7 linked regions of the Tribolium castaneum genome follow. The protein of the gene in region 2 binds, or shares a complex with, the protein of the main gene of each other region. Links are inferred from orthologs where the notes say so. Each region holds a gene or a part of one and is shown on either strand. Other genes may lie near its edges. The genes, in order: Eaf6, Nipped-A, Ing3, Tip60, Brd8, Taf5 and pont.

Region 1 (3,993 bases), on a different chromosome or scaffold from region 2:
TCTTGATTCGTTAAAAAAAGTAAAATATTCCAAAATTGCACAGTTGATTGCCTAATCTCAGACAAATAATACAGGATGTTTCACATAATTTTACGCGACCTGCGCCTCTAAAATGCCACCTACAACACATATTCCGATATACGAACTCGATTACAAATTTTGAAAAACTGGATTGTTTTTTCTTGTTTGTTCACTCCTTCAAAAAATTACGTTTTTAGTCAATTAGTGATTAAGATAAACAGATTACTGTCACGGGTTTCCACAAAATAAATAATCAAATGTGAATTTTTTGTATCTAGTGTTTTGTGACTCTTGAATATTTGGGTGCGTATGTATACATTTGGCGCAGGCCTCGTAAAGTTATGTGAGACACCCTGTATAATTATAATTACTATGGTTATCTAAACAATCAACGGAAAAATAAATTAAATTGAAAGAATTCTTACGATAAATCCATTCCAAAGTAATTCTCTAGATAAATATTTCGCTTCAAAATGCCTTGGAGCAGTTTTGGTTGAGTACTCTTGGTTCAAACCCAAACACCTTTCTATCAATAACGGTTTAACCCCACGTCGTAGAAATATGGACATATTGATAAAATTCAATAAAACTAAAACCATGTGTATCTTAAACATAAACGTGTTAACCTTATGCGAGGGCTTCCAGAACTCGAGACGATGTTTAACGTAATCAAAACAGTTCCCAAACAAGTAAAGAATTTTCTTGAAATTCGACATGTTGCTGTACTTTATTGATAAAAGTTGTTGCCCAAAAGTGCTCTCATTGCGACAGACTGAATTTTTCAGAAGCGCTAAACGCACAATTAGGCCCAACTCAGGTTCAATGGGGGCTATATAACCAGGCTAAAATTACACTTTCAGGCAACCAAACCTTAACAAGGGGGCACTTACGGGTAAGAAACGGCTAGTCTCGTGAAGAATTCGCATAAGGGCTTTGTAGATTTCATTATCAAGGAAAATTGCGTTCATTTGGGTGACTCTCAGTAACTTATCGTTGGACATTTTGCACAAGTTTTAGACAAATTGAGCGTTTGGAATGTTGATTTATTGCAACTATTTGTATTTTTGGCACTATTTGTTGTTTTTTAATTATTTCATAATGATCATAACCTCAGAATTTGTGGAACTTTTCGGGTTGTTATGTTGGCAGCGACGTCACGGGTGACGTATTTGACATTTGGCGAAACGTCAAGTTGTGAGGTGTTTTGTTGGAAATAAACAATTTTTAGTGTAATTACTTGAGGCACTTAGCATAAAACAACGACTTTACAAGTGTAACGTTTCCTTTTATCGTTTTGTGATAATAAGAACAATATGTCGGCCAAAAACAATGTTTCGGTGGATGCCCGCCAAGAGTTAGCAGAACTTGTTAAAAGAAAAGCAGAAATTGCGGTAAGAGTTACTTTATAAATGTTGAAGCTTTGTATTAAGAAATGTTTTTCTGTTTGGCTTAAATTCGCGGTCTTTAACCAATTATAGGAGACGTTAGCAAATCTCGAGCGCCAAATTTACGCGTTTGAAGGTTCCTATTTAGAAGACACTCAGTTGTATGGAAATATAATTCGAGGCTGGGATCGGTATTTATCGAGTAACAAAACAACAAACTCTAAGGCTGATAAAAGAAATAGGAAATTTAAAGAAGCCGAACGTCTGTTTTCTAAATCGTCCATAACCTCAATGGCTGTGAGTTGGGACGAGTTTTGTGTATTTTTTTTGTATTTTAATGAACGTTTTACAGGCGGTTAGTGGAATTGTTGACCAAAATCAGGAGAAAAGTAAGAATAGTTATGAAATAAAAAATCATTCATACGTCTAGTTTTTTTTGTATTCGTTTTGTAGCTTTTTTGTAGTGTTTGTGGTAGTTTTGCTGTGAACTTTCTTCTAGATAGATGTTTTCTCTAGTTTGGTCACTGCCTCTTATATGCACTGGAAAAATGAGAGACATTCCAATAGCTCTGTAAATGTTTTACTCTAAAATTATTCAAATTTTGCAAGCAATGAAACAAAATATTACAATAATTTAGAGTTTATTTTCATTGCTTACAACTCCCACAGGGAGTAAATTGGGAGGCATATTGAACATTTTACATTTAGTTTTACTTATTTATTTGTTTTGTTGTTAGTTGTGTCATAAACCCTACAAAAACAATTCACCAACAGTAAAACTTCTATAATCCGAACGAATTCTATTGCAGCAGGTTCTTCGGATTATCGAATTAACTTTTTTCTCTTACTTTAATTGAATAAAAAAAAATAAGTATTTTTATTTAAAAAATTTCATAGGGACATATACCGAGTAGAACAAACAAATATTTTTTTTACTTATTTATTTTATTGTTATTATTTATCATAAACCTCTAATAAATTCGGACTGATATTTTTTGAATTAACTATTCTCTTATTATTAAAACGAATAAAAAGAAACATTTTTTTTAACTTAGAGTGATCCTGTTAAGAGAATTGTAATTTTATATAAAAACTGTTGTTTGCATTGCAACACTTCGTTCAACAGAAAGTTAATTGACAGGTATTTTATTATTACTAATATTATTATTATCACAAAAGATCATAGAGGAGTCCCTGTCGGGACTATTTTGCTTAAAATTAAAATAAAAATAGTGGTGGTAAATACGGTATTTCAATTCCACCCAAAAAGGTTGTCAGTTCTTGATTTAAATCGCAAGATGTTAGGTGCATTTTTTATGACCATTTTATGTAAAACGAACACTAGGACAATCAAATGTTTATATTTTTATTTATATTTCTATTGTTTAGTTTTTCATAAACCATGCCAAAATAATATACAGTAAAATTTTTATAATGCGCACTAATTACTATTGCAAGAGGTTTTTAGAATTACCAAATTAACTTTTTCCTCTTAATTAAAATGATTAAATAAGCAAAAGTAAGTATTTGTATTAAAAGAAAAACAAATATACCTAGTGAGCCTGTTAAAAGCATGTTTCAATTTTATATGTATAACAGGCAGTTACGTTTAGAGACATTTTGAACATATTATTTAAAATTTAAATTTGATTAAAAAAATCAAGTTTCTATTTTTTAATTTTAGTTGTTTTAATGTTATTGTTTGTTTTATCATAAACTATATAAAAATACACTAAAACCTATTATAATTCGAAATACTTACTATTGCAAGAGGTTCTCCAATCGGATGATCGAATTACATTTTTTGTCTTCATTAAAATGAAATAAACAAAATACTCGTAAGTATTTTTATTAAAAAAACAATCAGAGAATTACATATTTTAATCACTATACAAAAATGTTGTAAACGTTGTTCATCTGGAAGTAAATTGAAAGACATTTTGAACATTTTGAGGAACAACGAATAAAAATATTTTTTACTTCTTTAATTGTATATTTTATCGTTAATTATGTCTGCAAGAACATTACACAGTAAAACCATTTTAGTCAGAATTACTATTACAAGGGGTTTTTCTATGTAACTACAGTAGCGAGGGGTGCTTCTTTTAGTGAGTTTTTCTCAATATTTCAGAAACCATTACAGATAATATTACAATATTTGATACAGTTAATAATCTTTATATTCCCAATCGAATTCGAGAATCTAATGTAATAAGAGCTGTCAGGTTGGCATTATCATAAATAGTATTTTTTTTTAATTAAGGTTGGTGTAATTTTTTACCTAGAAAATTCAATTTCCAAATTTTTCAAGTTGTCTCCAATTTACAAGACGTACAACAACACATTTAGTTATTTTAGACCACCTTTAGAGTAACGAATTAACGATTAACACTAACGTCCAATTTTCAAAAATGTCAAATCTGGTGTTCAAACTGTCAAATACAGAATACAGCCAGTTTCTAAAGTGGTTGAACATGAACTTTTAGGGTGTTACAGTCTTTATCAGAATTTTGACACTGACAGTTGATTATACAAAAAAATTAACTATAGAAATTTTGAGCAGGGGCGTTCCAAACTGGAGGGAAGT
Region 2 (3,500 bases):
GTCTAAGGTAACTCAACAGTCAGGTCAGGTCAGGACTGGAAACTTAGAAAAAGTCTAAACTAACTCAACAGTCAGGTCAGGTCAGGTCTGAAAACTTAAAAAAAGTCTAAGTTAACGCAACAGTCAGGTCAGGTCTGAAAACTTAGAAAAAGTCTAAGTTAACTCAACAGTCAGGTCAAGTCAGGTCTGAAAACGTAAAAAAAGTCTAAGTAAACTCAATTTTCAGGTTAGGTCAGGTCTAAAAACTTAAAAAAAGTCTAAGTAAACTCAACAGTCAAGTCAGGTCAGGTCTGAAAACTTAGAAAAAGTCTAAGTTAAGTCAACAGTCAGGTCAAGTCAGGTCTGAAAACTTACAAAAAGTCAAAGTAAACTCAATTTTCAGGTTAGGTCAGGTCTAAAAACTTAAAAAAAGTCTAAGTAAACTCAACTGTCAAGTCAGGTCAGGTCTGAAAACTTAGAAAAAGTCTAAGTAAACTCAATTTTTAGGTCAGGTCAGGTCTAAAAACTTAAAAAAAGTCTAAGTAAACTCAACAGTCAAGTCAGGTCAGGCCTGAAAACTTAGAAAAGTCTAAGTTAACTCAAGAGTCAGGTTATTTTGAAGTTCAAAATATGTTTTTTTAAGTTTAATCTTAAGTTTTTATTTAACTCTACATTGACATAACGGGCTCAAGCTACTCTTTGGTAGCTTCCAAATATCTTTTTTATATAGGTTTTTGGGTAAAAAAATAAAGTATTTTAAAAATAATAATAATAATAATTCAACTGTTAGATTTTTTACAATTACTTCTACACCTTTTTGAACCGTATTTCGAAAATTGAAAAGTTAACCTCCTTTTTGAGTGACGAACTAATTAGTATTGCATTGTCACGGAAATTACGTAAGTATGCAAAATTACAGTTCATTCGGACAATAAAAACCCTTTAAAGCTTGACTCAGAAAATATGAAACTGACAACAAAACAAAATAAAAGCTATTAAAAAGCTTTACAAAGAATTTTAATTACAAATTATCATAGAAAATAAATTTAACAGCTTCAATTTTTGCTGCACAGTTGATCGAAATTTTATTAACGTTTCCAGTGTTAATTTGATTAAAATATTATGCTTTCGTAAATTTGCTACAAAAATGTAGATTTTTTATACCTTATAATAACCCTTTTAATGTTACCTACCTGTCCTAAAAAACAATTTAAATTATTTTATTTTAATTATTATTTTATCCATCTTGCTTCATTCTTCTTCTTCTGTGTTTCCTTTCTTGTTTACAATTTATTTTTACAAATTTTTTTACAAATTCCCCAGAATTAGTTTCTAATTGTTTTCCCCCTTTTATGAGAAAATCCAACTGATAAATGACATAATCTCAATTAATTTATAAGCAATTACGCTTGCAAAATACATGTCATCATGTAAATATCAATAAAGCGGCTGTCAAGTTGAAAAAACGCGTGTGGTAATATATTAGATTGTTTTTTACTTCTGGTGAAATATGACTTATGATAAGCGATAAGTTTTGTAAAAGAAATATTTTTGTTAGATAATTGTGCAAGAAAATTTTCCTCAACACAATGTGTGATACAATTTTACATTTTAGGATAAATGACAAATAATTACCTACCTGTTTTATTTTTTGAAATATTTTGTTGTCTTATTTGTTTTTGTTAAAGAAATACAAGACAAGTTAATATTTTTAAGTGTTTCATAATAAAACATGTTTTTAAAATAAAAGTTATTCAAGACGACCGACTTTGTTTAACAATCATGATGTTTGCCAAAACGAGTGAGCGTAACTACAAGGTAGACCACAAAATTTTGACAAAACATATTTTTTTCCAAAAAATGTACTTACTGTAACAACATCTTGGAACGATTATCCAAAATCTTGATCCACTTCTTCAGCTTAAAAATCAACGTATGCAAGCGCATCGAATTCGTTTGCGAAAAATCAAAATCCTTGGTAAAATCCTGCTTCATCTCCTTAAACACCGGATCCTGATACGTAGCTTCGGCTCTCCTGGCCAGACTTTCACTAGCTGCCGAATTAAACGTAACCACCGAACCAATATTCTCAACACCAATGCCAAACGTCGACATTAACTTTTTCACAAAATTAAGTATATGTGGTGTTATTTTAGCCTCATTTACACTTTCACGATTCTCGAACGCAATCGCGTAACATTTAGTCAAACCCTGCCTTAACTGTCTCAAAACCTCTTCGTACCAATTCTCTCTAAACCACTCCATTTGATTGGCAATTCCTTCGAGACTTGACAGTGCCGTGGTGTGAATATCACGTTGCATTTTCATTATTTTTGAACAGCGGATCATAGCAGGTGTTGCTTTGATTGAAGATGTTTCGCTGGTTGTGATTGTGGCAGTGTTGCCACTCTCTTGTTGGTTATTTTGAGTGTCGGTTTGGTCTTGGGGTTGTTGTTGGACTGTGTTTGTTTTACGCGCTGTTGCCGTACGTAAAGTTAGGTATAACGTACGGATGGGGAAGTACACAGCCTGAGGGAACATTCTACCAACCTAAGAGGAACGAAACTATAACAATCTCTGCCAAATTCTAGTTACAAACTAATTTAGTAGCGTTTAAGAAGTTACTTCTACAAAGTTAAGAAAAAGATTATTTTTTTATTTTTTTTAGTTTGAAGAAAAACATTATGAAACAAAAATAATAATAAAGTCTTCATAAATTTTAGTTTATCTAAATGGAAAAAAATCCTAAAGGCTCGTATCAGTCACAATATTCGGAAAGTACTAAAAAGTCATGACATCATTATCGCCCAATCGAAAAAAAAATACTTAAAATATCTTCTTTTCGAAAGTTTTATGAGGTTTTTCAAGCTAGAAATATAATTATTACCAACATTTGCATTTTTTATAGTTATTTTAAGTTTGAAAAAAAAACTAAACATTCTACAAAGTCAAAAAAAACATTATGAAAGACAAATAAATAATAAAGTCTTTACAAATTCGTAGTTTTTCTGAATAGGAAAAGTACATAAAGGCTCGTATGACTCACAATATCGGGAAAGTACTAAAAAGTTCGTGACGTCATTTTCGTCCAATCAAAAAAAAATTACTTAAAATATCAGCTTTTCGAAAGTTTTATGAGGCTTTTCAAGCCAGAAATATAATTATTAGCAACATTTGCATTTATTTTAGTTATTTTAAGTTTGAAAAAAAAATAAACATCCTATAAAGTCAAGAAAAACATTATGAAACAAGAATAAATAATAAAGTCTTTATAAATTAGTAGTTTATTTAAATAGGAAAAGTACACAAAGGCTCCTATGACTCACAATATCGGGAAAGTACTAAAAAGTTCGTGACATCATTTTCGACCAATCGAAAAAAATTACTTAAAATATCAGCTTTTCGAAAGATTTATGAGGTTTTTCAAGCCAGAAATATAATTATTACCAACATTTGCATTTATTTTAGTTATTTTAAGTTTGAAAAAAAAAATTAAACATCCTATAAAGTCAAGAAAAACA
Region 3 (3,895 bases), on a different chromosome or scaffold from region 2:
GAAGGTGGAGGGTTTTTACAAATCCGACCGTTTCACGGCATGCAATTTCGCTTGCATTCAGGCTGATATTTTCGTTACTACTCGTTACCTTCATTAGATTTTAGGTGCGTTTTTAATTAATTATTATTTTTACAAGGAAATATTAGGTAATGTGTGTAAAACTCGGTGCAAATGGTCGCTGTGCATGGAAATGTACATACATATTTCGCAATGTAATATTTAAATTATTTACCGTAAAATTCGAATATTGAGCTGGTTCCCTTTTCAAGTGGGTTAAACTACCGATTCCATTAATTTTCATGTATCAAAATTATAATATCTAATGTGTTTACGCTCTTGTTGCTTTATTTTGTTTTACATTAGACTGGAATTCAGATTTTGATCCTTGCTTATATGTACTTATTATCTGTGTGATTAGTTTATTCAGTTATCAATGTCCAGTAAAGTTAATTAAACGTCTTAAAAAGGATAGGGTAGGAAATGTGTCAAATAAAACTCTGTTCTTGTTCAAGTTTTATAATTTATAAGCGTAATAAATCGGTTTACAATACTATTTAAGAGTAAAAAGTTGAGCATACATAAATATTACATTTTCATAATTACACAAGATCTTAATATTAAATAGGAAATCATTAATCACAATAAAAACACAATGACAGTTGAATACTTTTATTTTTACAACTATTCCGTTTCTGTGGAAAAAACAGATTAAATAATCTCGAATTTCCCTAACATTTTCTCCTGCACAAGCTCACTCATTTCTGATTCTTTTCTCCCGCCTCCGAGAAATTGTTACAAGCCTTTTTAAACTCTCTATCAACACATTCAATTTTTTCGGCTCCCTCTACGTTTCATTGACGCTAAACACTGTGGACAATACCACTTGCCTTTTGGCGGTGCAGTAATACCAACACATGGGTAATGAAACCATTCAGTTGGACACTAAAACAACAATAATAAAACACACCCAGAAACATTTCACAGAACCTACGTCTTCATTATCACAAGCGACCATATCTCCGTAAGAAACCTGATTACAGAGACAATATCTAGGCTCGTTGGGGTCATAAGTCCACTCCCCATCTGTTACTTCCGCGCTTTGTGAAGACACATCTATTGACGGTGATTCAGGGGCGGCACTAGCAAGCGGAGCATTTAATATTTGTTGAACTGTTGTTGACGCCGAAGGTGCGCTAGCACTACCACCTGACCATTTCCTATAATTCAAAATTAAATTTAACCAAAAAAAATGGGAAAAATCGTTACTTTTGCTTCTTCTTGTTATTGGCATGGTCCTGTTGGATGGCTTGAATGGCCGTTTGCGCCGCCCCAGCCAACTCGCGCCCGATACTAAACTCATGACCATGGCTTCCTGTATTTATCGCCTCATACGAGGCCTTAAGACTTGCTGTCCTCCTGCCTTGTTGCATCTGATCAAACAGTATAGTATAAAATATCAAGGTCGTAGAAAAAATAGTGTATGTAGGTCGCACTCAATGGCTATTAATACGACACTCGCCCCGGCTCGTGTCCTAACAGCCACCACTGATTGAATGGATTATTTTTGACAATTTTCTAGGCGAAAAATGGTATAAAATTAGTGATTTTTTACCTGTTGAGTGGCAGCGATGGCCTGTGAGGCCGCAGCCGCAATGGCAGGCCCCGCGCCTATGTGCCCCAAATTATAAGTAACGTTAGACTGAGCTGGGGGCGTTGATTGGCCTATTGAACTATGCCGGGTCTCGACGAGAGGTATGGGGGCAACAGCTTGTCTTTTTTCGGCAAATGAGGTCTGCAAAGAGTTACTACTATCCCGTCTTTTTTCGCTTCTTTGTCGATATCTAAAGCTGCTAGAACTACATTAGCACTAACAAAGATTACGTTCCCATAAATGAAAACCACCTTTCGTATCTATTTTCTTTTTGTTGTTGGGATGAATTTGTTGAATTAACTGGAGTGTCTAACTCCAGTGACCGCTTTTCTAGAACTTCAGTTATGCCCTTATTGTCTGCCTCTAGTTCGCATTTAAATTTATGTAGTTCTGTGTCAAGCCGGCGCAGGTATTTATCAACTAGTTCAAACATTTGATTAGCGAGGTGCACCTTTGATTCAAATTATCATTAAGTGGTCACACAACCCCACAACTACCTTCTCATCTGCGTCCTCGAGCGTCTTTTTGTACTCTTTTTTCACAGCTTCGAACTCGACTTGAATGGCAGGCGGTAATTCACCGGGATAGCGCTTACAATCATTGAAAAAAATTTTCACCCGCTTTTCTAACTCATCCATGTTATCTACAATTAATAATTTATTTAATCAACTCTAACTATCAAACTCTTACTTTGCACTGTTAAGTCTAACTCTCGCATTTCTGTAAACCTGTCCCGTAATTCCTGAGGTAGGTGCTCGATCACTAAAAATTCGAATTGAGCGCCACATTGACAATTGGCGTTTCCGTCAATGCCACGCCAAAGTAACTGATTTACTTACTTTCCAAGTAATCTTCCAGATACAACATTTTGCTGTATTAATGTGGTACGGAATAATAAATAATAAAGTAAATACGTGTTTAATTACGACTTTATTTCCTGATATAAACCCGAAACTGCAAACTTCACACAATTTGATGGAAGGAAACTGCCATTTTTAATTCCAAACGACAACATGACGCCCCGAAAACCACTAACACTCAAGCGCCCGATTCAATTTCCCACAGTCCGAGATGATTACAGGGGCTAAAGGCTTGCCGATACTGCGGCCATACCCCTCAATTTTAAACAAATTCTCAGCCCCTCGCACAATATAACCGAACACAACGTTCTGCATATCCAACTGTTCCATTTTCGTGAAGGTGATACAAAAGCGCGAGTTGTTATCGTGTTTGCGGACACGCACCATGGACAAAACTCCTGAAACAACACTCAGGAATTTTTCGTAAACTAAATTCGGGTTTTGTACCAGGTTTCGTGTGCTTAAGCATGTGGCCTTCCTCTGCAAAGTATTTACCATAGATTGACACCCCACCACGTCCTGTCCCTTTAGTTATGTCCCCAGTTTCCAAAAAACGGCCCGGAACTATTCGATTGATTGGGCAGTTTTTATACGAAAGGTTCTGTTTGTTCTCACCGCAGCAAATTGATAAGAAATTCTGGACTGTGACAGGGACGTGGTCGTGATAAAGCTCGATCTCTACGCGGCCCAGAACTGGGCCATTTAGCACTTGAAATTCCAAAAAACACCTTCGGGGTCAATTAATTAAGTCATTGTTTGATTTTTTTAATTATACCGGGGCCGTTCTGATAATTTCTCAAGTCCGCAACTAATTGACGGCTGTTTTGCAATAACTGAATCGACTGAGACTTTCTGAAGGATGACCAAAGGGAATTTGGAAGTTAGTTTCAATTTTTCAATAATACTGGTCCAGAATTTACGTAACGACTCACAATCGTAACTGGAAGTCTGTTAACTGTTAAATAAAGAAACTAATTTTTTGGGCTTACTGCAGCCATCAGTTTCTCGTATATTGCTTTATTTTTGCGGTCAATTCTCTTCATCCTCATAACGTGAGCGTGCCATTTCGATTTAGACGCATAGGCTTCAGGATTATACGAATCAATTTTTCCCTACGTTAAAAATTCACTTCAAGACAATTAAAATCAAAATCTTACGATGGTCCTATTTATCGTATTTATGGACTTAAGGAGCTGCTTATTCTCCTTATCAATCATTTGTAACCGCTCAGCGTCTGCCCGTAACTTTCGAAGGTTGATATAATTGAACGGATTCATGGGGAGGGGTTTGGTATCAGTTTTCGGTTTCGCTGAAAAAACCTAACGGGAGTAAACCAAGCCTGAAGCTTCTGCTTTTACCTTATATCTGTGTGCGTTATATTCTG
Region 4 (3,886 bases), on a different chromosome or scaffold from region 2:
CAAGTAACAAACTGAATAAATTGAACGAAACGGCACAATACACAATAATTTAAATAAACCGCCTCACCTCACCTCGCTTCGCTTCGCCCCGCCTCCCGGTCCCGCTCCCGATCTGACCCGTGCCGCTGCTCGCTGTCGACTGAAGCGCTCTCGCCGCCTGCGCCGCACACCTAACCTCGGGACACGTCACGGATGTGACGTCACACAAGTCTAAAACAGGTCATTACCAGAAATATTCACTGTCAAAATCCGTCAAATTTAGTAACATTCATACACAGAATTATTCAAAATAGAACAGCATTGATCTAGAAAAATTAATTATGACAAATGTATTTGCCTATAAACGTCTAAAATTATAAAAGTTTCGCATGCAGTCAATGGAAAAATAAAAATGCATATTTTTATTTAAACAGAAACTGGCAATGTGAAATTTTGGTGCGAAAAGTTTTATCACACGAGCCGACAATTCTTTCAGACTAGCCGTGTTATGTGTTATGTTGCTCACAAAACGGACAACAAGGGGGTTATCACGGAGACTCAGCTGTGACGAACGAATTTTATTTTTACATAAAGGTGATTTATTTGTTACCTCAGTCAAATTTTTCAGCGCGATTATTTCAGGCGGCAAAGTGCGCAATTTGTTTTTGTGCAACTGGAGCGACTTCAAGTTGTGCAAATTGGCGATATTTGACGGCAAACTCTCGATTAAGTTATCGCAAAGCACCAAAGCCTGCAGTTGCTTCAGTTGGCCTAGAGTTGAAGGAACTTCCACTAATTGATTGCCACCCATCGACAAGATTTGAAGGCTGCAATCATTATCACGTGTGGTCGTTTTAATCGTCCCCACTTACCAGTTTAATTTCTTTATGTTTTTCGGTATTGTTTTAATTTTATTCCCTCTTAGGTACAGGTACTTTAAATTAGTAAACTCAAACAGTTGTTCGGGAACTGTTCGAAAACATTCCCGCTCAGGTTTAACTCCTGCATGCTCGCACTCTCAGCGAAACTTTTCGGGAGGGATTCGTTACTGAAGCGATTATTTTTCGCAACCAGTGTTGTTAAATGCCAGTACTCGAAAACATCAGGTAAGGTCATAAGGCCGTTGTTGCTGATATGGAGGACTTGGACGTTTGTGACTTTTGACAAGTTTTTGGGGAGCGTTGTGAGTTGGTTGTGGTGCAAAATAATCGACTCTATGTCTTCTCGTTTTGCACAGTCCTTGCCTAGTTCGTCCAAATTTTCTTCGAGTTGTTGCGAATCCAAGAGCAAATAGGCGAAACTCCGTTTGAACTGTGGGCTGCGATTAGGAGAACGCTGCGTTCAAGCGAAGCTAAGGTCAAACGTGTTATCACCAATTTGTGAACAAAGCTTGGTGAGGCGTTAATTTAACAATGAGTCTGAGAATGGAATTGTGTGATTTTATCGAGTGTGCTGGTTTCGGGGGAAACCCCCGAGCAACACCCTACGCCCATGACTAGATAATGATAATTTATTAAATAGTAGACACTTGTGTGTATTGTTTCGGTTCGCCGAATGTGCATATACAGATAAGTCGCATCAAAACATTATTTTGGATAACAATTATGCAATGGAAAAAAATCGTTATGGATATTGCGCATTATGTTTTTTGCGGTAGTTGTGGTGGTGAGGTTTGTTCGGCAATAATTACAATTTTTCCCCCCGAAATTGTGAAAAACAAGCAGAATCGATGAAAGTGGAAATGGAGGAAATCGACGACAGCACAATTTGTGATTCTGTGGTATATTTTCATTAAAAATTGCAAAACCAAAATGTTGACACAACCTCACTTTTAGAATTCGTTAGTGGAAGGATGCAGGCTCCCGGTTCACATGACCGGCACTTCCGACTGGCGTAAGCCCCACTTTGGCACATTTTGCACGTTTTTATGTTTTAAATTGCAGCTTTGGCCGAAATTATCAGTATTAAGGACGTGCAAGGCTCGAAATTGTACTACGTCCATTACGTTGATTGTAAGATTGGACACCCGTTTCGTTCCTTGTGAACTAACTTGGGTTTTAGTTAACAAGCGTTTGGACGAATGGGTGACCGAAGAATCGCTCGACACTCGTAAAGTCCACTTCCCGAGACGTGACGGCGGGAGTAACACTGGAGTCTCAACTCCGAAAAAAATTCACATTGGGGGCGGTGGTGCCATCGGTTCGGTATCAAGGCCCTCGAGCCCTGTGACAGCTGCCTCCGAACTTGTCAACGGCAGTGCTGTCCTAGCAGCAGCGTTGCAAAAACGCATAAATAGGAAACGAAAAGGGCCGTCTCTTGAGAGCGAAGACTCGCAAGATGGGCCCACACAGATGCCCCCAGGGCCGAGGCAGTCTGGGAGCATGGTGTCGCACCATGACGATGTGGTCACCAGGATGAAGAACATCGATATGATCGAGTTAGGGAAACACAGGATAAAGCCGTGGTATTTTGCGCCATATCCGCAAGAAATGGTCAACTTGAGCTGTATATACATCTGCGAGTTTTGCCTCAAGTACCGAAAGAGCAGGAAGTGTCTAGAACGCCACTTGGTCAAATGTAATTTGAGACACCCGCCCGGAAATGAGATTTATCGCAAGGAAAACGTCTCGTTTTTTGAAATTGACGGGCGGAAAAATAAAGTCTACGCCCAGAATTTGTGTTTGTTGGCGAAGCTGTTCCTCGATCATAAAACACTGTATTACGACACGGACCCGTTTTTGTTTTACGTAATGACCATTTTTGATAATAGAGGGTTTCACATTGTTGGCTATTTTTCGAAAGAGAAGGAATCAACGGAAGATTTTAACGTCGCGTGTATTTTAACCATGCCTCCGTATCAGCGAAAGGGTTACGGAAAATTACTAATCGAATTTAGTGAGTTTGAGTGCGAATTTTTGTTGTCGAAATTTCACGAATTGTTTCAGGTTATGAATTATCAAAGTTCGAAGGTAAAACGGGTTCTCCCGAAAAACCTCTCTCCGATTTGGGTTTGCTTTCGTATAGGAGTTACTGGGCACAAGCTATTTTAGAAATCTTAATATCAATGAAGCCAGTGGGTGATAACGAGAAGCCACAAATAACGATCAAGTAAGTATTTTTGATTATTTCTTTATTTTTCGTAATTGTGAAATGTTTGTTCACTTTAAAGTGAAATTTGTGAGTTGACAAGTATTAAAAAAGAAGACGTCATCTCAACTTTACAAAACTTAAACTTAATCAATTATTACAAAGGCCAGTATATTATAACGTTAAATCAGGAAATTATGCAAAGTCACAAAAAAGCCATGGATAGTAGACTTATCCGAATCGACCCCAAGTGTCTGCATTGGACACCTAAAGATTGGGGCAAACGCGCCAAGTGGTAGATCAATAAATGATTTTTTACATTTTCTCTTTTATTAACATATTCCTCTGCCAATCCACACTGTTCCTCCTCACTTAATAATAGTAACACTGCGAACTTGTGTTTTGACGGAGAAACATGGAGAAAACACCGGGTTCAGTAGTACATTTTTTACGAAAATGCATTTTGTTTGTATTTACTGGCACATTTTACGTCCAAGATATTATTAAGTCGAAAGTGGTATTATTTTTGCGTTTACGCATATTTTTTATTTAGAAACTCACTAGTTTCGCAATTGTCAGATTTTACTCTGAAAATCGTCGAATTATTTTTATTAAAGCGAAGTGTGAGTTAAAGTGGACTACTTTTCAAACGTTTTAGTCGTTTTTCATCACCTTGTGAATTTTGAAATCAATGAACTTGCGATTGCAAAACTAATCTTCAATTAATAAAAAAATGAAACGTTTTCCGTTGTTTATTCGTACGTTTTATTGTGTAATATTTTGTTTTGGGTTTGTTTATAATACTGATGGGAGAGGATGT
Region 5 (4,017 bases), on a different chromosome or scaffold from region 2:
CTCTTTGAAACTCCTGCGTTGTTCTTATAGCCCCATTCTCTATATTCTTTCTAATCGTCAACAAATCCATGGGTCTATACACCACACTGTGATACCCTGGAGCTTGGTCATCGGTGATCGGTTTAGAAAACAGTGACGCGTATTTATTTGCAGCCAATCTACTATACACAAGCATTATAGACTTCTTCCAATTGCGATACTCCCGATCATCATCGTAAAAATATATACTGGAAACTGGTGATCCTGGAACTGAATCAATCGGAGTCGCAGGAGTTGAAAGTCGCCTCCTTGTCCGTATTGTAGACACATCTTCCTCCTCCGTCCAGGGACTGTTAGATCTTTCATTCTCGCTCTTAATCCGCGATTTGCTGTCTTTACGGTCCAGTTCGCTGTAATCCCGGTCAGAGAAACTCTCTTCAACCAACTCACTTTCGTCTCTTTGCGCCTTTTCAATGGCCAAGAGAACATCAAATTCTTTATCGTCCTTCTTCTTCGTCCTGGAATAATCGCGCTTTGCTTTCCCGGTCTTGTCCACTTTCACTTCCATATTGATATCGTCGTACAATTCCTCGTTATAGTCGGAAGTCAATGTGGTTGACTCGTCCAGTTTCCTTTCGTCTTTCTTCTCAATCTCTACACTAGATTTTTCATTTTCTGAAACTTTGGCGTCTGTTTCTGATTTTATTTCCGCAACTTCTGTACTTTCCCCTGCTGTTTCTTTCTTTGGTTCCGCTTTAACGGAATGGGCTGGATCTTCAGTTTTATTGACTTCCTTGTCAGTATCCTCATCATCCATAACTACAACTTCTACAATTTCGACGGATCCAGGAGTTGTGCTTTTATCTTTCTTATCGGAATCATCAGTTGGTTCGTTTTTTACTTCTACCAGTTCATCCCGAGATTCTTCGCCATTTGAAGTTAAGTGTTTATTGTCTGAATTTGGGGCTTCGTCAGTAGTTTGTGACCGATCGTCGCTGTCCTGTGCTACCATAGTTTTAGAAGCGTCTGTTTTCACGGCTGTTGCAGGTTTAGCGGGTTCAAAAACTTCCGGATCTTCTTGGAACTCAAACGGATCTATTGCCGGTGTTGTAGTTTCCGTCCGTTTTTCTGTTTCTTTGGTTTCGTCCTTCATATCAGTTTCACTCTCTTCGAAATCTTCCAGTTCCAAATTTAGATTAAGATCACCGTTTCCATCCAGTTGTAGATGCTGTTCCGGATCTGCAACTATATCCTGCGCGTTCTCAATCAAATCGGAGATGATAACATCAACGTCATTCTTTATTTCTGGAAGTGGGCCATTCTGGATCAAGATACTGCTCGCCAAGTCATCAATTTTCAAAATTTGTAGATTGGCATCATCGAGGATATCGTTAGTATTGACATTCTGTTGTTGGGTTTCTTCTCCGGTTGGCTCTTGTCCTATAGCTGTACTAACCAAAAGTTGCAATCCTGGAGAAACTGTTTCTCCAGTTGAGGAGCTTAAAAGACTGGCAATCATGGGGCTAGTAGTTGTGTTGGTTGGCCGTTGGTTGGTAATCGCTGAATGCAATATTGAGGAAGTTGTAACGTTTGGAACTTGTGATGGTGATTTCAGAAGACTTGTCAGAAGTGGCGATAGGGCCGGTTTAGGGGGCTCCTGCACTAGGATTTTCTGTTCTTCTGTTGTATTTTCCATCTCTGGGATTGTGTCCATAGCTTCGGAATTTTTACGTTTTTGACCAATCACCGGGGATGGCTTAACTGGTCTCCACGCTCTTTCTATTTCCTGTTTTCGTAACTCCCTCTCCTTTAGCCACTGTTCGTGTGCCAGGGCTTCTTGTTCCTTCCTGTGTTCCTCTTCATCTATTTCCTTACACCAAATATCCAGTTGTTCTTCACTTACGTTACCTTTAAATAAAACAATTAATTATCAAAAAATACTTAACCGAATTTCCGCAACAGTCTTAAGTTTGAGAGGCTCTAATATAGCCCCTGTAACTTCAAACAACTTTAATTTAATTGTGAATACCTGACTGAAGCAGAGCTTTATCTCTCTGCAATTTCTGATATTCTGCTTTTTCTTCCGCTAGTAGTCTCTTGAGCTCAGCTTGTCTCTCGGCCAAAAGTTTGCGTAGAATGACTTCGGCGGGGGTTTCGATAGTGACTTCGCCCCCAGACGTTCTTTTCTTCCTCTTAGGTGTTTCAACATTCGCTAAAAGAGCCCCATACTGGGCTGCACAGTTCTTCTGGTGGAACCAATCAGGGGGTCTGTTGGGTTCACCAAAGGGTTTTAAAGCTCGGCTCACACTTGTTAAATTCTGGTCCATGTTACGAGCCACTGCTAGAGCCAACTGTTCACGGATTGACCATTTATCCAGCGGTTCACGCTTTATTTGTAAACGTTCTTCAATTGAACTCATTTTGAGGTTATGTTGGCCCGAACGTCCAAAAATCAAATACAAGAACCTTGCCAGGAAAGTGACTAATAGTATCACTGAATAAACATTCTTGAAGTAGAAATTCGCACACAAGAATTATCGTTATAACAAGCTTGAACGTTGTTTATATTTGTCAACTGTCAAAGTGTCAAACCTGGACAAACTATGCAGAAGTTTTGCCTGATTTTTAAAGAAAGTCAACCACAATCAGTGTAAGATTATGTAATGTTTCAAGCACACTTGTCTAAATAATTTCGTAAGATCTTATTATTCATAAAAATTAATAATCTTGAAAATTTCATACGCAGACATTATTAGATATTACGTACAGACCGTGATTTTTGACGAGGGCTTTTATGATCGAAAAGTATTAATTTAATGACTGTTTTTTAATTAATTAGTGTATTTTGGGTGTAGCTGGTTTAATGTTATCAAATACATATAGATTGTGGCCACCTTTTTGTATTTGTCGAATTTTATGGCATATTCTGTTATTAAGTATTTCGGTAGCTTGCGCGGTAGCTACTTTAGTGGCAAGTTGTCAAATTTTTAACCTCACTTTCTTGCGAATGGAATGCAATAAAAAATGTTTTTTTCGAATGCTTTGGAAGCTGTTTCTGGTGGTAGCTCCACCCAGTGTCCCAAAGTGAAGTAAAAAAAGAAGTTGTGAGTGTATACATAACAATCAAATGTAAGGATACTCTTTGAAAAAAAAAAAAAAGGTGGAAACAGTATTCAGAATGGCCCCCGAAGGGCGAATCAGTTATTACATCGACAAATATGGAGTGTTTCATAAAAGTGGTGGAAAAAACGACAAGCCGGTGAATGCACCAGCGTTTGAGACAAGTGTGACAAGACCTTCCTCAACTTGGCTGCGTCTGATAATAATGTTTTGGAATGCAAGAGTTATGAAAGCGGCTTTTCGTTTTGGCGTTGCTGCAATAATCATGAATCAGTATGAGCGTCTGGGATTTGCGGTCCTCTTACTGTGTTTCACGCTATGATAGTTTACTTTGTAACATAGTAGTTGAATAAATTTGTTTGAAATGTTTTTGTGTGTTGAAGGAAATGCGGGCAAACTGTAAAAATGCAGCTTTATTCAATTATAAACCAAATTATAACAACAGTTAAAACATTAAATAATTTGAGATTACTCTAATAGTTGACCAAGAGGGTAGCGATGCGCAATTTAAAATAGGCACTTTTCTACATTTATTTACATGATTCTGAAAAAAATCCCTACTTATAAGGTGAATATGACTGTGAAGGAAATTTTCAACAAATCGTAATTTTGTGAATAAGAAATGATTTTGTTAAAATCGCTCTCATCGTCAAAAGCATTTCCCAAAGTTACGTCACCTAATTTGATAACAGCATGAGCACTTTCGGTAAAAATATAACAGACTTCGTTACAGAATTGCAGTTTTAACCCCTAAAGTGTGTGTAACTACATCCTTTACAACTAAAACACTTCATATACTCTACTCTCATTACGTAACAAAGCAATATTTATAATTTCAGTCTAGGCTAGGATTCATCATGGCAAGAATTTGTGAAACCTATTTTAACATAAATTATATGATATAATTGATATTCATTA
Region 6 (4,064 bases), on a different chromosome or scaffold from region 2:
CTGTTTATTTTCAACTCGGAATTCTATTTTAACATTTTAGTGTTATTTCAAGCGATTCATAAACCAAACCCCAAAAAAATCGTTAAAAAATTTATTTCTTATCAAGGTAAATAATACACATTACAATAAACTAAGTGCTAACACCATCAAACATGCTAACAGCCAATAGCAAATTCCTCCTCGTAAAGTGAAGGCTGATCAATGGCGAGCTCTTCGTCGCAAAACTCCTCAATAAATAATCATCCCCGATCCTCACATCGGGATTATGCGACACATTTACTTCCTCCGAGCTGATTTCCTCAGTCAGTTTGGTAAAATCCCAAACTTTGAGCAAACAGTCCAACCCTCCTGAAACTAGAATATTCCCGCATCTGCTGAAAGCAAGTGCATGGATGGGCTTCTCATGCCCGGTGAGTTCTGCAACCAAGTGTCCATGGGACAAGTCCCAAACCAACACTTTACAATCCACCCCCGCGGAAGCCAAAAACCGCCCACAAACACTGAACGCCAAAGACATTATGGGCGATTTATGCCCAGTCATAAGTCGGACATGATTTCCCGTCGTACAATCCCACAAACAGACGCGGCGGTCGCTGGAACCGGTCGCAACGTAATTGGAATTTGGGTGAAACTGGACGCACTACAATTAATAATTTCTGTAAAAAAATATTAAAAAAAAATTGATAATTTTTACATCGACGTCGGAGAAATGACCGGCAAATAATCGCAACGGTTGGTAATGGTCGGTGGCCCAAAGTCGCGCAGTGCGGTCGTACGACGCCGAAGCGAAGTAATAGCCCAAGGGAGAGAATTTGACGTCCCAAACGGGGAACATGTGTCCTTTGTAGACCACCAGACAAGTCCATATTTGCAACGACCATAATCTTATTGTTGTGTCTTCCGAACAACTGATAAGGAGAGTCTTGTCTGGGGAAAATGATACCGAGTAAACAGGCCCTGAATGGCCGTAAAGCGATCTGGAAGTCTCACCGGACCTTTCATCCATCATTCTCACCTGCATGTTGAAAACATGTAAGTTTTTGGAACCTGGCCAAGATGACAGATAAGTTGCTATCTTGGCAGATTTCTTTAAGTACACTGTTTAAATGAATAAAAATGATACACCTTCCAGTCATTTATTTTGCGATTTTAAACATGTTGACGGTTTCCACACGGCAACGACCTATTTTTATCGCTATTTATTCAAGTAGTCGATTAATTTAAGTCGGTGTCTACTTTATCGACTTGATGGGGGCGAAAACTAAAATCTCAACTTAACTTTGAATATATTTAATGTTGTATTAAAAAAATGAGTGATTACTTTTGTAGTAATAATAAAAGTCTTTTCTGAACAAAAAATTGTAATCGAAATTACTGATTTAGTTTTACTTATCGTTTAATTTTGATTGATTATATATTTTTTCATGTACTTTATCGATTTCATTATTAAAAAAAAATGTAACATTACCACGACATCCTCTACGTCAACATTGACATCCTCCAGCTGCTCCCCACTTTTCATAGCCTTCAGTTTTTGAGGCACAAGTGTCCAGACTTTAACAATTGAATCGCTGAAACCCACCGCCAGCATACTCGAATCTTCGGTGATTTCAGCACAATTAACCCTAAAAAACCCCCGATAAAGAAAATATTTTCACTGAATAAACTCAACTAACGTGTGATTGGCGTTAAGTAAGGTGTAACAACAAACTGAAGGGAGGTAATCCGGGCCTAACGTAACTCTCTTTGAGGCCTCTCTGTACGCCTTCACTTTTTCGTACTTATCGTGGTCTCTCATGTCCGGGACTGGAATTCTATCAGGCGGTGGAGCGTTTGGGTCATTTTTTGTTTTTTTCGAGAAAAGTGGGTCTTTTTTGGCTTTTTTCTTCTTAGGTTTGTCCGGATTGTCCTGTTCGCCGCCTTCGTCCTCGTCTTCGACTGGCGCTGCTAGTGCCTGAATGTCGGGGGCTTTGGGGATGCCGTAATAGACTTTGGTTTTATTATCTGGAATTTTGATGTGTTTATTGTAATTATGATAACGAAAATGAACCTTGTCGTTTTGCCTCTCCCCCAACGGCACCTGACGTGGCATCAATCTGGCTTTTGTTCCTCGCTACGCCTTCGTACATATCAAAGTAGAGATGTTCCTGGATGATGTTCAGCAAAACTGACGCTTTTTTGTCGTTTAAGTGACGTTTTAAAAGTGACAAAGTGTCACGCGACATTCGAATAATAAACTGGTTTGATTTGAAGGTGTCTGTCAATTCGTTCCCGTTCATATGGTCCCGTTTTGTGACCAAAGCCAACTTCCTGAGATCCTCCTGATAGTACGAGTCTTGTTCGGGGCCAAATTTTTTCATTAAGTTTATCGCTTTCTCCGTATGTCCATTATAAACCAATTCGAGGTACATGTGGACCAAAACTGGGTATAAAATCATGCCTAATTCGTGTTTGTAAATGTCAAGGGAGCCCTCAACAAAACGCTTTAACTCCATGTAAGAGTCCTCATAGGTTTCTGGATCTCCGTCACTCTTGTACCCCGTCAGAACGCTACTAACGTCTGAATTTTGTTGCAAAGGGCCATCAGCTATGTTATTACCGAGATTGGCCTCCTTTCGTAGCAGCTCCTCAGTGCCCTAATGAAAAATGTTACGTTGTGCTTACTCGCCATAAGCTCACCTTTAAATTGTATTTTTTCAAAATTTGCAGAACGGCTGCAAGTTGAGATTTTTCCATTTCTTCGGCGCTCATTTATAAACTCGTAAAATAATAAATACAACACAAACTGACGTTTCCCTAACCACACTTTAATGCAAATGACAACAATCAATAACGCAAAATTTCCCTAAAGCCTGCCATTCAACGTCGATTTATAAAAAATCTAGGCTTATTTCGCAACAATCCGATTTTCTCTTCATTCAGAGAGCGCAGTATGAGAGTTGTAACTCCTGGCTATATTTTTTAAAACTCTGAGAGTCGTTTTTGGACAATTTTTAATTGGTTGAATTGTGTTGGCACCATTTTTTTCTTAACCGCCACCCGCCATATTTCCAGCGCCATTAAAAGGATCTTTTCGGCGGTGTTTTGTGGTGGCTTTTTAAGAGCCAGAGTTGAAAGTAAGTAAATAACGGCTCCAATCGCATTATTATCCACTACCTTAACTAGTCAGCATTTTAGTAACGAAGTTGAATGCAAGCAATACTTATTGTTCCAGAAGTACGCAGTCAGCATCGCTTTACCGGTTATTCGCAAACAAAACTGCAGAAATGGGCAAAAAGAAGGTAGAAGACAGCGAGAGCGAGGAGGAATATTCAGTTGAGAAAATTATCGACCGGCGGGTCGTAAACGGAAAGGTCGAATATTTTCTCAAGTGGAAAGGTTATAGCGAAGACGATAATACTTGGGAACCCGAAGACAATCTCGATTGTCCCGATCTCATAGCGGAATTTGAAAAGTCGCGCAAAGCCAAGGCGAAGAGGTCTTCCACCACGAAAAGTGCGGACGAGGATAGTGACAAAAAAAAGGTGGGTTTATTGGATAAGCCAAGCAAAAACCAGCCCACTTCGACCCGAAATCTATTTAATTGTGTATCCCTAGAAAGAGAAAAAATCCAAGGACGGTGAAGAGAAGTCTGAAAAGAAATCAAAAGGCAGGCCCAAGAAGCATGCGGTTGAAACGGAGGACTCCGACGGCGAGCCCAAGTCGAAGAAAGCTCGCCGTCGTTCAGATTCCACGGACGAGAAAGAGAATTCAAAAAAAGACGCAGATTCCGACGACGAAAATGGTAAAAACAAGTCTGACTCATCTGACGACGAGGATAAGTCCAAGAAAAAGAAGAAATCAGAAGGCGATGACGACGAAAAATCCAAGAAAAAGCGAAAGTCTGAGTCGAAATCTGAAAAGGGGAAGGATAGTTCATCCAAGAGTAAATCAAAAGTCGGCTTTGAACGGGGCTACCAAGCCGAGAAAATCATAGGAGCATCAGACACCACAGGACAGCTGATGTTTCTGATGAAGTGGAAGGGAACCGACGAGACCGATTTAGTCCCAGCTAAGGAAGCAAA
Region 7 (4,227 bases), on a different chromosome or scaffold from region 2:
TCGCAATAATTGAGTTTTTAAATCGAAAATATGTTTTGAAAGCTTGAAAGAGGCCAAATTACCTTGTTTATATATTTCTTTCATTTCAGTATTTCTTCCACTTATTTTTGACGAAATTTCGCGACATAATTACAATGCCTTGACTAGAAAAACCTATCTAAAATGTCCATAAATAAAATGGGACACATAATGTCATTGATTACCTAATCTAAATCTCGAAAAACAACGGGATTTTTAACAAAAAAGTAGTTAAATCCTCAAAAAAAGAAAAATATATCACCATCCTCAAATTAAAGTGGGTTTATTCGGCGTATTTTTGACAAGATTCTTTCAAATAATTGCTTTTTTGCCTACAAAATCAAAATAAATTTTTTTTGACTTAGTTATTAACTTTTATGCGAGTCTTTAAGTCAAAAAAATGCTAAAATAAAACACATTCTTTAACGTAATGTAGAGTTTTTTTAATTGAGTTTCTGACTAAAATTTTGCTAAAGACGTTTAACATAGTTTGATGCAGACGAAATTTCTCGAAAAACATTTGTCGTTTTCTGCTTGTCTAGCGAAAGCAACTAAGTTTTTAGCCTTAAAAAGTACATTGTGATCATTTAAGTTTATAATTAGAGTAAGCTTTATTATTACTTTTTTTGAAAACGCTGATTAGTGTAATTAAAAAAGCTGAAGAATATTATTTATTTAGACTACAATTTTTTACCATAGTTTGGACCAGTTCCAAAGAAAAAAAAACTAGCACAGTACTTAAGCACTTAAAAAGGCAAATGTATAGCACATTCACAATGTAAAGTGCTTTTTTTTCGGCTTATTTTTAAATTTAATTTCCGGGAAAAAATGAGTTTCTAGTTGAAAAAAAAAAAAAGATAAAATAATCAGATTTTTTACTTTTGGAACAGTTTTAAATACAGTGTGATTCAAAGGCAGGGGACAATCTCTGGGGTGCTGATAAAAGACATCAAACTGAATTAAAAGTTCCTATGACAAAAAAGTGTTTGAGTCTTTTTTCACGAGATATAGCTCTTCAAAGTTAAATTTTTAAGTTAAATTATTGGTGCATCAGATGATATTTTTTTTGACTTTAGTTAGCGGAAACGAAATTCGATATCATAGCAAACAAAATAGCAAAAATGGATACCTAAGGAAAACAGTTTAAAAATATATCAAAATTACTTTGCTTAAAAAAATTTGAGTTCATTTTTGTGCTTAACTAAACTTCGTTTTTTACTATACGAGCGTTTATTCGTCACTTTTGAATCACGCTGTATAACACAATGCGGTGATGTATTGAAATTATTGTGTTTCCTTTGAAAACAATTTGGTAAAACTCAAAAATGGCAAAAACAAGGTTTTTCACATAATGTGAAATTTTGACCAAACGTCTCGAAAAAAATTATTTCTGACCACAAAATGCTCGAGAAACGTAAACATAATGTAATCTTAAGATTGATTAATATAATTTTGCTAGATTAAGCGAAAACTAAAAAAATACTAAAAAAATCAACTACCTAAAACCGTAATAAATTTTAAAAGGGTGAACAATCCAGAGAAAATGTAATGTTGGTGGCATTTAAATTATATGAAACACCCTGTATAATTGCGTTTCTGGATAAAAAAATTGCTAATACTCCACAAACGTCAAAAACAATGGGCTTTTTGACCATATTTAATTATTTCTGCAACAACTTTACGTGACAACACCAATCTCTTAAAAATAACTGTCACAAGTGTAAAATTGTCTTAAGACAAAAATAATGTATGTGTGAGTAATTTAGCAATTTTTCAAAAACATGATTAAATTTTGTTGATTTATTTGTACTGTTCAGTTTGTCTTGAAACTTGAAAAAAAACACGGAGCTACCGTTTATCCAAAAATATTAAGAGCGGATTATACATACTTGAACCACCTCCTTCTTTTTGTGAACTTCCCCCTTTGGAAGCGGTACATATTCCTCAGCTTCTAGATCAAACTCAGTCGCATATCCATCAGATCTGCCTTGACGCTTAACAGCCCCACTATTGGCTTCAATATAAATAACGTCACCTACTTCGACTTTTTCCTTCTGAAGGGCTTCATAAATACTGGGGTCGAGTTTCAGTTGTTTGCTACCTTTTGCAGTTTTCAGGCCAATAATTACATGACTTACTGTCTTTCCATACCCTACAAAACCAAAAGAAATATATAGAACATTGTCAAAGTGTCTAAAAACTAAAACCTCCAGCAGGATTCTCCGTTTCAACAGGAGTCAATTCAGTAACTTCCCCCTCATAAACCTCCTTAGTCTCCCTAATGCGCAGCCCTATGGCCCTCCGGAAATTCTCCATCAACACCTCCGTCTTCTTAATCTCAGAACTGTAAACCTCGGACCCCACCATGGGGCAAAAGGGCACCTTATTACCCAGTTCTTGCGCGATGGCCAAAGCTATCGCAGTTTTACCGGTCCCAGGGGGACCCGCTAGAAGCACAGCCCGTCCGGCCATTTTCTTACTCCTAATCATATCCACCACAATCCCTGCGGCCTGAAACCACTGAATTTAGCCGAACTCTGATTAAAAAAGACAAACCTAACCTCCCTAGCCTGTTCTTGGCCGACCAAGCCGGCCGCTGTTGGCAACGCGAAACCATTCTCATCTAACCCTAAACCTTTAATGTGGCTGTGGGCACTTATTCGTTGCGTTTTCACCGTACTTTTCACTTCTTCAATCTTCATTTTTGGAAAACACGCTAACCAAACTTTGCTTGATCAATTTGAGTTTTATTGTTGTGATGTTGGTATGGCAACAACCGGTTGGAGAATTTTGGAGCGTTGGGGTGGTCATAGTGACCATTTCAAATTCATTTTTGATTAAAAAATCGTTTTTAATATTCTGTTCGAACTCAGCAGTCACAAAGTGATTTTTGAAATGTTTCATTATAATACTATGACCTAGTCAAATTTTAAAGAAATTGCGAATTTAATTTTACATTGATCGAGTCACCTGAGACACCTGAGAAATGGCATGTCAGCTCAACATGACAGAACGGCCATTTGTCAATTATCACAAAATGGAAAACTTTCTAATTTTCCTTTAATGAATCCTTTCGATTTTAACGATCGGTTAATGCATTCCACAGGTGAGTATTTGGCGTGTTTGTTGTCTCTTTCTCAAATTGCGGCTGTCCCTGTCTTGCAGGTTCGGCCAAAATCATGTGATCGGTCGAAGCTCCAATGACAGTCGCTGACTGGAGCTCAGTAAAATCAGTAAAATACTTGGTAAAGTCTGCTTAAACGTTAGGTGTCAGTGTTTGTGGATGAGTGAGTGGAAACAAATACAATTGATCGGAAAACTGCTTGGTCACGATCACTCAATACTTCTTGTGAAAAGTGCGAAAAGATGAAGTAAAATGGCACCCAGTTTTAGCAAATATGTGACAAGAAACAATGCTCTTGCAGCCGCTGGAGCATCGACAGCTTTATTATGGATTTTAATATCACGACGAAGAAAAAATTTGTACAAACTGGACAGGTATGAAAATTGACCCCACTTCGAGACTTGTTTGACTCCGGTTTTGTTCTAGGAGAAAAGTCAGGAAAACCGTGGATGAAGAAGTGAAATATTTTATATCTGAGAAGAAAGAAAATAGGATTAAGGCGCAAGTTGATAGGCAATTTCTTAAGCAACTTAATCACCTACTTAGAATAATTATCCCAGGATGGACTTCACCTGAGGCGGGATTTCTATTCCTTGTAGCTGCGAGTTTAGTGGCTAGATCTGTGTGTGATTTATGGATGATAGATAATGGAACGAAAATAGAAAGGTAAATCGAACAATGAGTTGTTGGTTACTTCAGTTAAGGAAGCTTAGAGGTTATGTAATTGCATTCCGAATCTGAACTTTATGTGATTAAGTAAAGGCGTCAAATATTTATGCCGTCTTAGCCAACGGTTTTGGTAGAAATATTTTTGCTTTTTTACCGTGTTATCATCGTGACTGGATATTTGTATAAAGTCACCGATTTAATTAAAATTCATTAACCTTGAGGGGTTCATTATCTGTCTGAATCTAAAGAGGAAAAATACCACCAATATTTTACCGTTGTGATATTGCTGTTGACACAGCTTTCACCCTACAGTTGGTATTTTTTTAATAACACGTGTTTCATAAATTGCTTCGCATTGCCATTATGTAATATTTTGTTTCCTTGTATTGGATATCTGTATACAGACCTGGATTATT

The links.
Region 1: Nipped-A (region 2) and Eaf6 share a complex: the UniProt entries of both Homo sapiens proteins name them as parts of the nuA4 histone acetyltransferase complex. The link is inferred for Tribolium castaneum from reciprocal best matches to the Homo sapiens genes TRRAP and MEAF6.
Region 3: Nipped-A (region 2) and Ing3 share a complex: the UniProt entries of both Homo sapiens proteins name them as parts of the SWR1-like complex. The link is inferred for Tribolium castaneum from reciprocal best matches to the Homo sapiens genes TRRAP and ING3.
Region 4: Nipped-A (region 2) and Tip60 share a complex: the UniProt entries of both Homo sapiens proteins name them as parts of the SWR1-like complex. The link is inferred for Tribolium castaneum from reciprocal best matches to the Homo sapiens genes TRRAP and KAT5.
Region 5: Nipped-A (region 2) and Brd8 share a complex: the UniProt entries of both Homo sapiens proteins name them as parts of the SWR1-like complex. The link is inferred for Tribolium castaneum from reciprocal best matches to the Homo sapiens genes TRRAP and BRD8.
Region 6: Nipped-A (region 2) and Taf5 share a complex: the UniProt entries of both Homo sapiens proteins name them as parts of the TFTC-HAT complex. The link is inferred for Tribolium castaneum from reciprocal best matches to the Homo sapiens genes TRRAP and TAF5.
Region 7: Nipped-A (region 2) and pont share a complex: the UniProt entries of both Homo sapiens proteins name them as parts of the SWR1-like complex. The link is inferred for Tribolium castaneum from reciprocal best matches to the Homo sapiens genes TRRAP and RUVBL1.

The regions. Positions count from the first base shown.
Region 1 is NC_087398.1:15,239,154-15,243,146, forward strand, and holds the start of Eaf6 (chromatin modification-related protein MEAF6), read left to right. Parts: upstream 1-1,193; 5' UTR 1,194-1,334; coding exon 1,335-1,412; intron 1,413-1,499; coding exon 1,500-1,703; intron 1,704-1,758; coding exon 1,759-1,795; intron 1,796-3,993. Other genes in the region: peroxisome biogenesis factor 2, read right to left, coding at 447-863, 912-1,022.
Region 2 is NC_087401.1:16,678,124-16,681,623, forward strand, and holds part of Nipped-A (transcription-associated protein 1), read right to left. Parts: intron 2,530-3,500; coding exon 1,850-2,529; intron 1-1,849. UniProt on the Homo sapiens protein: Adapter protein, which is found in various multiprotein chromatin complexes with histone acetyltransferase activity (HAT), which gives a specific tag for epigenetic transcription activation.
Region 3 is NC_087397.1:1,048,017-1,051,911, reverse strand, and holds Ing3 (inhibitor of growth protein 3), read right to left. Parts: upstream 2,633-3,895; 5' UTR 2,519-2,632; coding exon 2,491-2,518; intron 2,414-2,490; coding exon 2,342-2,413; intron 2,295-2,341; coding exon 2,149-2,294; intron 2,103-2,148; coding exon 1,903-2,102; intron 1,857-1,902; coding exon 1,613-1,856; intron 1,431-1,612; coding exon 1,267-1,430; intron 1,218-1,266; coding exon 992-1,217; intron 943-991; coding exon 826-942; 3' UTR 501-825; downstream 1-500. Other genes in the region: uncharacterized protein LOC103313454, read right to left, coding at 2,683-2,909, 2,959-3,239, 3,287-3,459, 3,501-3,623, 3,669-3,830, 3,870-3,895. UniProt on the Homo sapiens protein: Component of the NuA4 histone acetyltransferase (HAT) complex which is involved in transcriptional activation of select genes principally by acetylation of nucleosomal histones H4 and H2A.
Region 4 is NC_087402.1:5,803,531-5,807,416, forward strand, and holds Tip60 (histone acetyltransferase Tip60), read left to right. Parts: upstream 1-1,313; 5' UTR 1,314-1,708; coding exon 1,709-1,759; intron 1,760-1,814; coding exon 1,815-1,872; intron 1,873-1,922; coding exon 1,923-1,991; intron 1,992-2,040; coding exon 2,041-2,874; intron 2,875-2,924; coding exon 2,925-3,087; intron 3,088-3,148; coding exon 3,149-3,365; 3' UTR 3,366-3,386; downstream 3,387-3,886. UniProt on the Homo sapiens protein: Catalytic subunit of the NuA4 histone acetyltransferase complex, a multiprotein complex involved in transcriptional activation of select genes principally by acetylation of nucleosomal histones H2A and H4.
Region 5 is NC_087396.1:10,840,518-10,844,534, reverse strand, and holds the start of Brd8 (bromodomain-containing protein 8), read right to left. Parts: upstream 2,801-4,017; 5' UTR 2,400-2,800; coding exon 2,009-2,399; intron 1,888-2,008; coding exon 1-1,887. UniProt on the Homo sapiens protein: May act as a coactivator during transcriptional activation by hormone-activated nuclear receptors (NR). Isoform 2 stimulates transcriptional activation by AR/DHTR, ESR1/NR3A1, RXRA/NR2B1 and THRB/ERBA2.
Region 6 is NC_087398.1:2,407,342-2,411,405, reverse strand, and holds Taf5 (cannonball), read right to left. Parts: upstream 2,801-4,064; 5' UTR 2,737-2,800; coding exon 2,680-2,736; intron 2,637-2,679; coding exon 2,051-2,636; intron 2,005-2,050; coding exon 1,677-2,004; intron 1,626-1,676; coding exon 1,469-1,625; intron 1,016-1,468; coding exon 695-1,015; intron 641-694; coding exon 131-640; 3' UTR 78-130; downstream 1-77. Other genes in the region: heterochromatin protein 1, read left to right, coding at 3,267-3,524, 3,598-4,064. UniProt on the Homo sapiens protein: The TFIID basal transcription factor complex plays a major role in the initiation of RNA polymerase II (Pol II)-dependent transcription.
Region 7 is NC_087395.1:13,831,749-13,835,975, forward strand, and holds the start of pont (ruvB-like helicase 1), read right to left. Parts: upstream 2,801-4,227; 5' UTR 2,721-2,800; coding exon 2,580-2,720; intron 2,530-2,579; coding exon 2,226-2,529; intron 2,171-2,225; coding exon 1,908-2,170; intron 1-1,907. Other genes in the region: Abcd3 (ATP-binding cassette sub-family D member 3), read left to right, coding at 3,395-3,516, 3,569-3,808. UniProt on the Homo sapiens protein: Possesses single-stranded DNA-stimulated ATPase and ATP-dependent DNA helicase (3' to 5') activity; hexamerization is thought to be critical for ATP hydrolysis and adjacent subunits in the ring-like structure contribute to the ATPase activity.